Linked DNA regions of Neurospora crassa OR74A. The protein of the gene in region 1 interacts with the protein of each later gene in a pairwise test. Links are inferred from orthologs where the notes say so. Each region holds a gene or a part of one and is shown in the gene's direction. Other genes may lie near its edges.

The links.
Region 2: the proteins of NCU04652 (region 1) and NCU09461 interact in binary tests that used the Saccharomyces cerevisiae proteins (3 or more experiments, as listed by UniProt). The link is inferred for Neurospora crassa OR74A from reciprocal best matches to the Saccharomyces cerevisiae genes APL5 and APS3.

What each region holds. Positions count from the first base shown.
Region 1 is NC_026505.1:1,328,611-1,333,208, reverse strand, and holds the start of NCU04652 (AP-3 complex subunit delta), read left to right. Parts: upstream 1-1,668; 5' UTR 1,669-2,107; coding exon 2,108-2,109; intron 2,110-2,164; coding exon 2,165-2,283; intron 2,284-2,342; coding exon 2,343-2,923; intron 2,924-2,976; coding exon 2,977-3,202; intron 3,203-3,260; coding exon 3,261-4,598. Other genes in the region: NCU04651 (tetratricopeptide repeat domain-containing protein), read right to left, coding at 1-183, 242-400, 458-664, 737-1,072. UniProt on the Saccharomyces cerevisiae protein: Part of the AP-3 complex, an adaptor-related complex which is not clathrin-associated. The complex is associated with the Golgi region as well as more peripheral structures.
Region 2 is NC_026502.1:4,358,579-4,362,673, forward strand, and holds NCU09461 (AP-3 complex subunit sigma), read left to right. Parts: upstream 1-1,306; 5' UTR 1,307-1,523; coding exon 1,524-1,592; intron 1,593-1,668; coding exon 1,669-2,184; 3' UTR 2,185-2,496; coding exon of another isoform or gene 2,497-2,619; 3' UTR 2,620-2,676; coding exon of another isoform or gene 2,677-2,738; 3' UTR 2,739-2,790; coding exon of another isoform or gene 2,791-3,070; 3' UTR 3,071-3,392; downstream 3,393-4,095. Other genes in the region: NCU09462 (hypothetical protein), read right to left, coding at 2,497-2,619, 2,677-2,738, 2,791-3,070; leu-6 (leucyl-tRNA synthetase), read left to right, coding at 3,894-4,095. UniProt on the Saccharomyces cerevisiae protein: Part of the AP-3 complex, an adaptor-related complex which is not clathrin-associated. The complex is associated with the Golgi region as well as more peripheral structures.

The sequences.
Region 1 (4,598 bases):
CTCACGTTCGTCATAGCCGCGCCAGCCTCTGTCCTTCAGAGTGCTATGACGAACGATTTCCGATAGCTTGGCGGTCGCAAGCTCATCGAGACGCTCAATTGTCTTGGGATCAGGCAGAGTGAACTCGCCATCGTCAGTCTGCTTGGCCTGTTTGGCCTGTTCCTTGAGAAGCCTCGTGGTGACCTGGCAGACGGTCAGCACATATTATTTTGTTCGCCCATGACGGCTATCGGAAACTTACTAGCTTCAGCCCATAGTAGCCACGGAGATAGTCGTCGCACAGTTCAATGCTCCGAGCAAACCGCTTGAGCGCCTCGGCCAAGTACTTTTGCTGCGATCCACCGCCACTTCCCGAAGTCGTGGCAGCCATGTACTGCACCTCTCCCAGTCGTGCATGTATCTAGATGGGCTACATTAGCATAGGGCTTGGGCTGTTGGGTGAGGGAGGAGCGCATACGTTCCAGGCATTGGGCGACAGAAGGAGGACCTCTTCCAGGGCGTAGATGGCCTGAGAGTATAGCCCTTGTGTGAAGTAGAGATCCGACAGCTCAGACCAGGCCTCGGCATCGGTTGGGGAGAAGTCGAGGAGTTGTACAAGAGCCGTTGCGGCATCCGAGACGCGACCCATGGATCGTAGGAGGGCGATCCGGCGCTTTGTGATAGGCTGTAGACGTAGACATGGCGGGTTAGCAAATCTGCCGTCCGAGAACAGTTGGCGTAAACGGTCAGGACCCACGAGATTGGTGCTGTTTCCTTCCAGAATGGCATCGTACTGCTTGAGCACCGCTTCCAGCTCTCCGTTGTTCTCGGCCTGGGCCTCGGACAACAAGCCCCTCAAAGCCATGACTCTCTCATTGTCGGGGCCAAACCGTGCCTCCAGCTGATCCATACATTTTGCGGCCGCTTCATCATCGCCGGTTCGGAGGCACGCTAGCAGCAGATTCTCGTATGTTGCCCATTGGTCCACCGTCTCTGATGACGATCCTTGCAAGACAACGGGAGCTTGCTGTGCGAGTTGGAGAGCTTCCGAAGGAGGGAGCTTGGCCGGGTTGAAGAGCAGGGAGGGCGCCATTGTGTATATTCGATTTAGTTGGATAATCGTATAGTGGTCGGGGTTCGCACCGGACCAAGAATCACGTCGCTCGTCAAGGTTGAAAGGAACCACCAGTATGTCGTGACTTTGTAAACCGCTGATTGACAATTGGCGCAAGTATGATGGAGGCAATCGAAGTCTCGGCTTTAGCTTGTGGTCTGGAAGCTGTCGTCAAATGATGGAAGAGGAGAAGTTGATGGCCGGGGAAACTGAAGCTTCCACTTCTCTGGCGTCAATCTGTACAATGCTGGACGCTGGTAGACGTCGCGCGGCGAGCACTGCAAGCTGGAGCTGAATGCCCGCCCAGGCACTCCATGGATGGGTAGAGGTAGGTGGGGCAAGCATGTGGAGCTTCTCGTTTGGAGCTCTCACTGTGTCATAGCTGCTCTTTCAGCGGTAAAACAGCTGGACAGACAGTGCAATCTGGGGTTTTAGGGGACAGTCGCAAACTGTACCACTGCATCCTCACCTCAAAGCACAGGCAGGCAGAGAGAGGTCAGTCAGTTCAGAGGGCAGCCAGTGACGTGAGATAGCACGACCAGGACGGGGAGGGTGCCACATTTGTGAACCCACCACGGACATCGGATCTCCAGCAGCAGCGTCGTTGACGGCCATTGCCTTTCCAAACCAAGATCCGTCAAGCGTGTTTCGACGACGACGCCGACGACGACGACGACGACAAGTAAACCCAACGGCGTGACGACGAGAAGCGCATTTACTTACAACCCTCGACCCGGGTGGCGCCCACAGCATCTCCCAGCTCCCCCAACTACGGCCGCGGCAAGATGCGTCGAGTTGCGGTTCAGTCCAGACACAGCAACACCTCGTCCCCGTCGCCTCGCTATACCTCCAGCTTATACTAGACTTGTAAACACTTTCGATTCCTGTCACCCAAGTGGAAGTTCTACGCGAACCGATTGCTACCCTTGCGCCGCCAGCGTCAGGCCTCCCCAACTTCGATATAGTCCTCACAACACTGGGAACATCGGCAGTTGGGCCACCACAACCGCAACCATGTGCGTCAAGCTCCGGCTTCCGTCTGCACGAGTCGACTTAGCTGATGCCCCCTAGGTTCGAAAAGTCGCTGTACGACCTCATCCGAGGTCTGCGTAACCACAAGGGAAACGAAAAGGAGTACATCCAGAACTGTCTGAAAGAATGTCGTTCCGAGATCAAAAGCCAAGACATGGGTTCGTCCCTCTTGTGTTGTTGCGCCCGTTCAGTTGCTTTCGCTAACACATGCGCAAAGATGTCAAGGCCACGGCCCTCCTCAAGATCATCTACCTCGAGATGAACGGCCATGACATGTCGTGGGCTTCCTTCCATGTCCTCGAGGTCATGTCCTCGCCAAAATACCACCAGAAGCGCGTTGGATATCTCGGCGCCGTCCAGAGCTTCAAGACCGATACCGAAGTGCTCATGCTAGCCACCAACCTCCTCAAGAAGGACCTCTCGGCCTCCTCCCCGATCGTCATCTCACTCCCCATTGCTGCGCTGCCGCATATCATCACGCCCTCCCTTGCCCTTTCTGTACTAGCAGACCTACTGCCGCGTCTCAGTCACTCGCATTCGGCTATCAGGAAGAAGACCATTGTTACACTATACAGACTAGCCCTGGTATACCCAGAGACCCTCCGAGCAGCATGGCCAAAAATTAAGGAGCGACTTATGGACAAGCACGAGGATCCGAGCGTGACAGCAGCCATTGTGAACGTGGTGTGTGAACTCGGCTGGCGGAGACCCCAGGATTTCTTGCCCCTGGCTCCGCGCCTGTTCGAGCTCTTGGTAGATGGGGGTAACAACTGGATGGCGATAAAGTTGATCAAACTGGTAGGAGGAAACCTGGAGTTCCCACTTGACGGCGTCTTTGCTAACTTGCGCAGTTTGCAACCCTCACCCCTCTAGAGCCGCGTCTCGTTCGCAAGCTTCTGCCGCCCCTGACCGATCTGATCCGAACAACGCCAGCAATGTCCCTGTTATACGAATGTATCAACGGCATCATACAAGGAGGAATCCTTGGAGACTCTGAAGATGATGGCAGGGAAGAGATTGCTAGTCTGTGTGTTTCAAAGCTTCGAGGCATGATTACTTTCAACGGTGATGCCAACTGTGAGTACCTTTACCGCTTGCCTTTGTCTGTACAATTCTCACCATGTTATTCGCTCAGTGAAATATGTGGCTCTGTTAGCCTTCAACAGAATCGTGGTCACGCACCCGTTCCTTGTTGCCCAACAAGAGGACGTGATCATGGAGTGCATCGACAGCGAAGACATAACCATCAGGATCAAGGCTCTAGACCTGGTACAAGGGATGGTCAGCAGCGATAACCTGGTATCCATTGTCAGCCGGCTTATGAGGCAGCTGAAAACGTCCACAAACCCGAACAATGATCAGTTGGATGATCTGTCAACCGACTCGAGTGAAGAGATGGGCGCTGAACGACGGTCCCGGAAACGAGATGAGGCGCCTCCTCTCCCCGAAGACTATACGATTGACGTTATTGGCAGGATCCTCAAGATGTGCTCGCAAAACAACTACTCCAGTGTGGTCGACTTTGACTGGTACATCGACGTACTTACACAACTTATCCGGATTGCTCCGGCGTCTCGTAAGGAGCTTGACTCGGACGGCATGGCACTGGGGCCGAAATCTACCACGGCCGATATTTCGGAGAGTATTGGTAATGAGCTCAGAAACGTGGCCGTTAAGGTGAAAGCAGTGAGAGCTGCCGCTGTCCGGGCTGCCGAGCTTATTATTGCAAAGCTATCGATGGAGACCACGTCACACCAAGTGATATCAGGTTCACTGAAGCCTGTTGCCTGGATCGCCGGAGAATACGCAAATCTGCTCTCAAATCCAAGCGACACACTCAATCACCTGTTACAGTTAATACCGCGTATCAGACCCTCCGAGGTTCTCGCAACCTGCCTGCAGGCCTCCATGAAGCTGTTCGCGCTGATTGCTGGTAACGACCAAACATACTGGACAGCAGAACGAAAGTCCATGGTATCTCTGCTCATGGCGCGAGTCATCCATACATACGAGCCCCTAGTGCTTCATCCATCTCTTGAAGTCCAGGAACGCGCGGTTGAGTTTACTGAGCTCTTGAAGCTCACCGCCGAGGCAGCATCGGCACAGGCGTCATCAACGGACGAACTCGAACAAGACCCGCCCCTCCTTCTCACACAGGCGATACCCTCTCTCTTCCAGGGTTGGGAGCTGAACTCCGTCGCAGTTGGCGCTCAGCTGAATGTTCCGATGCCAGAGGGCCTAGACCTGGACGAGCCTATTCATCCCAACCTCAGCAGCCTGCTGGCGCAAGCGGACTCATTGATGCTTCCCATCCAGGAAGACGACGAATTCTCAGCTTACTACAACGAAAAGGCAGCACCAACCAGCATCTCCAGCGAGCCAGCAATAAACAGACTACGGGACGCTCCCGAGACGACATCGGGCTCCTACCAGCAAGCGACAGAGGATAGCTACCTTGACGCAGACATCATCG
Region 2 (4,095 bases), on another chromosome or scaffold:
TATGAAGGCAACCGCCGGCGGATCTAATAGACCCGCGGCAGGCAGCGTTCTGACCAATCAACTGCCGGCAATAGTCGGCTTGCCGGCGGTAATAACAGCGTACGGCAGTCTTAGAAGCTACTGTACGCTGGCACCAGGCACAAGGCACACAGGCTAACCCTGTGACAAAAGTTATATTAATATAATAAATATAGGTCTTATTTTATTTTATATTTTACTAATTTCCCTATTTAATAAATTGTTAATTTAATAAATACTTTCTTCGAGTAAGATTTTACACTTGTACTTCTTATATTAATATAAAATTCTCCAAATATATTTTCTTATAGTAATTTTACACTAATATTCTATAATAACCTTTAAAATTTTACAATTATAGTTTCCTAGTATATATAGTTATTTATAAAGGCTTAAAGTTATATCTTATTATCTATACTTAATATTAAACTCTCTCTTTATAACTGGAAAAAAATAAACTTTTTCTTCAGAAATAACTATTTGGCTTAGTGGCTAAGTAGTTAATGAAGTAGTTCTTCATTATTAGATCCGTGTTCGATTCCTTGTTGTAGTCAACATTTTTGGATATACTCTTATATATACTTAAATTTATTTGGAAAAAGAAATCTAGTATTAACCTTCTTACTTATAATATAAATTATAATTATATTTTTTGAATAAGTAAATTTAAGTTCAAAATCAATTTATTCTATTAAAATAGTCCTAATTAATGGAAAATCATTTTACATTTTAAAATATACTTTAATATTAAAATAAAGTATTCGAGAAGCTAATCTTGTTATAAGAAAATAAATATTAATATATATTAATTTTTTTATTAAACTTTTATCTTATTCCAAAATTATCTTTTTCAAAAATGATAAACTTTTACAGTCTACGAATTTCTAGTCGAACTGATCCATGGATCAGTTTCAGGTCAAAATGAAAAATAACTGTAAAATTCTTCCCAAGATGGTTTTCTACAACCCGGGTGGCGCGCTATGGTTCAGTTCCCCGGCTTCCACTTTATGTAACAGACGGAACTGAAAGCAGAGCGCTGGCAGGCACGGGGTCATGCCTTAGCAGCGGCGGAAAGCTCTAGCTGAGGGTCAGTTAATATGGCAATGCAAAGGGACATGCAAGTACGGCAGAATCTTCGCATTGATGCAGGTACCCTCTTAACGCTTGCTCCCCGCCGTTTGCTGCCGTCTGCTAGGCGCGTGCCTCTGCGCATTTAGCGGGCGCACGTCATCGCACCCCCACCACACTTTGATCGGCCGAGTCCAGATTAATATCCACTTTTGCCTCCCGCAACTGCAGCCAAAGAGCCAGGGCACTGCGCTGGGCTCTGTGCGACTGCCGCCGCCAAGTGCAACAAAGTGTCCAACGAGGTTCTCATTTATTTTCTTTTCTTCAGTTTCAACCAAGTCACCCTCTCGCTGTTTTTGAAGCGCGCTGGTCGTTGCCGTCTTTTTTTCAACACCGTCCACTTCCAGGTTCCCAAACTGTCACACCGCGCGCCCACCATGATCAACGCATTCCTCGTCTTCAACGGCCAAGGCCAACCGCGCCTCACCAAATTCTACACCCAACTTGTATGTTCCCCTTCTACTTCCATCGCCTACCCTTCCTCATCACAGCCACTGCTGACACCTCTCTTCCCATTTGTAGGACACATCAATCCAACAACGACTCATCTCCGAGATCTTCACCCTCGTTGCCAACCGTCCAAAGGGCTCCTGCAACTTCCTCCCCCTCCCGCCCCTCCTCGCCGCCTCCAGCACCTCCACCTCCTCGTCCGAACCACACAACGACGTCCCCTCCCTTGTAACCTACCGCAACTATGCTACCCTCTATTTCATCATCATCTCAACCTCGACCGAGTCGCCACTGGCTCTTATCGATCTGATTCAAGTATATGTCGAATCTCTGGACAGGTTGTTTGAGAATGTGTGCGAGTTGGATCTGATCTTCAACTTTGAGACACTGCATGCAACACTGGGCGAGATGATTGTGGGAGGAGTGGTGATTGAGACAAATATGGAGAAGATTGTGCAGGGCGTGAGAGCGCAGGGGACGGTGGCCAAGAGGCCGGTTAACGAGAGTAGGGGAGGCGGCATGGGGCTAGGGAGTGGACTGGGGGCTGGGTTGGGAATGGGAGGGAATTTTGTCTGGAGTGGGCGATGAGGTTCTAGGAGCCAGCATGGTCTTTACATTAATGCGCTCCGGTGTTCGGGGTCCCTAGGGGGTGGCTTTGTGCGTGAAGAGACTGGAAGCTGCCATCCGGGACCGAAGCTCATACAGCCTTCGAGTAACCGTCATTCAAAGAAGGCGACAAGATGCCACATAAGCATGATACCAACAAGGAGCAGAAACCATAGATACCCACACCTCCCCAAGGTATTACAACGCCAAACACCCACAAAAGGATACTATACAAAGCATGATACAATCGGCTTGGTCCTGTCAATCCCAAGCCTCAGCCCTGTCTGTCCAACACTACATCTGCCGAGGACGGGACCCGCCTTGGACGCTAGCCTGCGACTCCTGGGACTGGATCCTCGCGACGGGCTTGGGAGCTTCATATTCGAAGCCAAGGGAGTTCCAGAACCACTGTCGGAACTGAGCATGGAAGTTAGGCACATATGGGTCATCAAGAAGTGAAGTGGGCAAACATACCTCATAGAAAGGCTGCCTCTCGTCCTTCCAGTCCGCAAATAGGAGGCAGTAAATGAGGACAACTAGATCACCATCAACATCAGGTCATCAAATCACACCCAGTGGAATACCCACAACTAATAGTCCCCAACTGCGCCAACTGCACCATCTTGTTCCATCTCGGCCTCTGCGCAATGTGGTGAATCTTCCTCTTGTACCGCTTCTCGTACTTGAGCTGTTCCTGCGGGCTCATGGTCTTGAAATCGGGCGGCCATGTTTTCTTGGCCGGGTACTGTGTGAGAAGGGCGGGACTGATGTGGGGGAGCTTGACAAAGGCTTGTGGCAGCTCGCTGGAATTGGCGGCTGTTGATGTTGATGCCTTTTGGGCGGCTTGCCGGATGGCTGTTCGGAACATTGTTTGTCGTTGTCTGTTAATAAGTGAGGAGTTCGTTGTTGTAAGTGACGATAATGACGATACGTGTACGCGAGTAGTCGTAACAATAGGGTTCAGAGGGGAGTCCCGTTAGTGACAGGGGAGACTGGTCATTGGGGACAGAGTGAGATGGATCATATGGAGCTCATGATGGAGTTGATCACTGCATGGATCCAAGGCCATTTCGAGGTTGCCCGATAAGATAAGAGGTCAGTTTGTGGCTGGTGAGTAACTTCAGCAGATTGACTAGGTCTACACTACTGTACGTAGCTCTTACTTAGCCACCGACTAAAATGATAGAGCCCGGTACATAAGCCACAGTCCGCCAAGCGATGTCGCGGCAAGGGACTGGAGTCAGTAGATGCCGCCGTCTTGCCGTCGGGCGGTGCCTGAGAGGGACTGGACTGCACTGACCCCGCGAAATGCCCGGGCGTTACAGTGCTTCAGTTCAGTTCCGTTGCCGTGCCCCTCCAAACCAAAGAATCTGGATTGCTGGAGGCGACTGACTGAGCGAGTTCCCTTCCGTTGCCGCCGTTGTCGTCCCAAAATTTCCGGAATCTGACTCAATTCCACAGGTCAGTCATCCCGTCAAACAACCCAAGCAGCAGCAGCACTCTCCTCTAGTATTCTAGCTCTGGCTTCAGTTCTTGTCGCCTCGCTGTGCTGTGCTTGTAGGTACAACAGTCAATGCCGAGTTTCTAACACTTTCAGTTTGCGAAACAGAGAATTCGCAGTCCGGGTCGCCGACTTCGGTCTTTTCTTTTCTTCTTCACCACCAAGACCAGACATCACCGCATAAACAAACATGGCCGACACAGCAGCCGTCGCCAAGGGCGTCGAGAACCTCTCCGTCTCCGCCTCCAAGACCAAGGAGCTCAAGGGCACCGAAAAGAGAGACACCCTCATCGAGATCGAGAAGAGGTACCAGCAAAAATGGGAGCAGGAGGGCGTCTTCGAGGTCGATGCCCCCTCCACCGCCGAGTTCCCTCTCGACGCCATTACCCCCG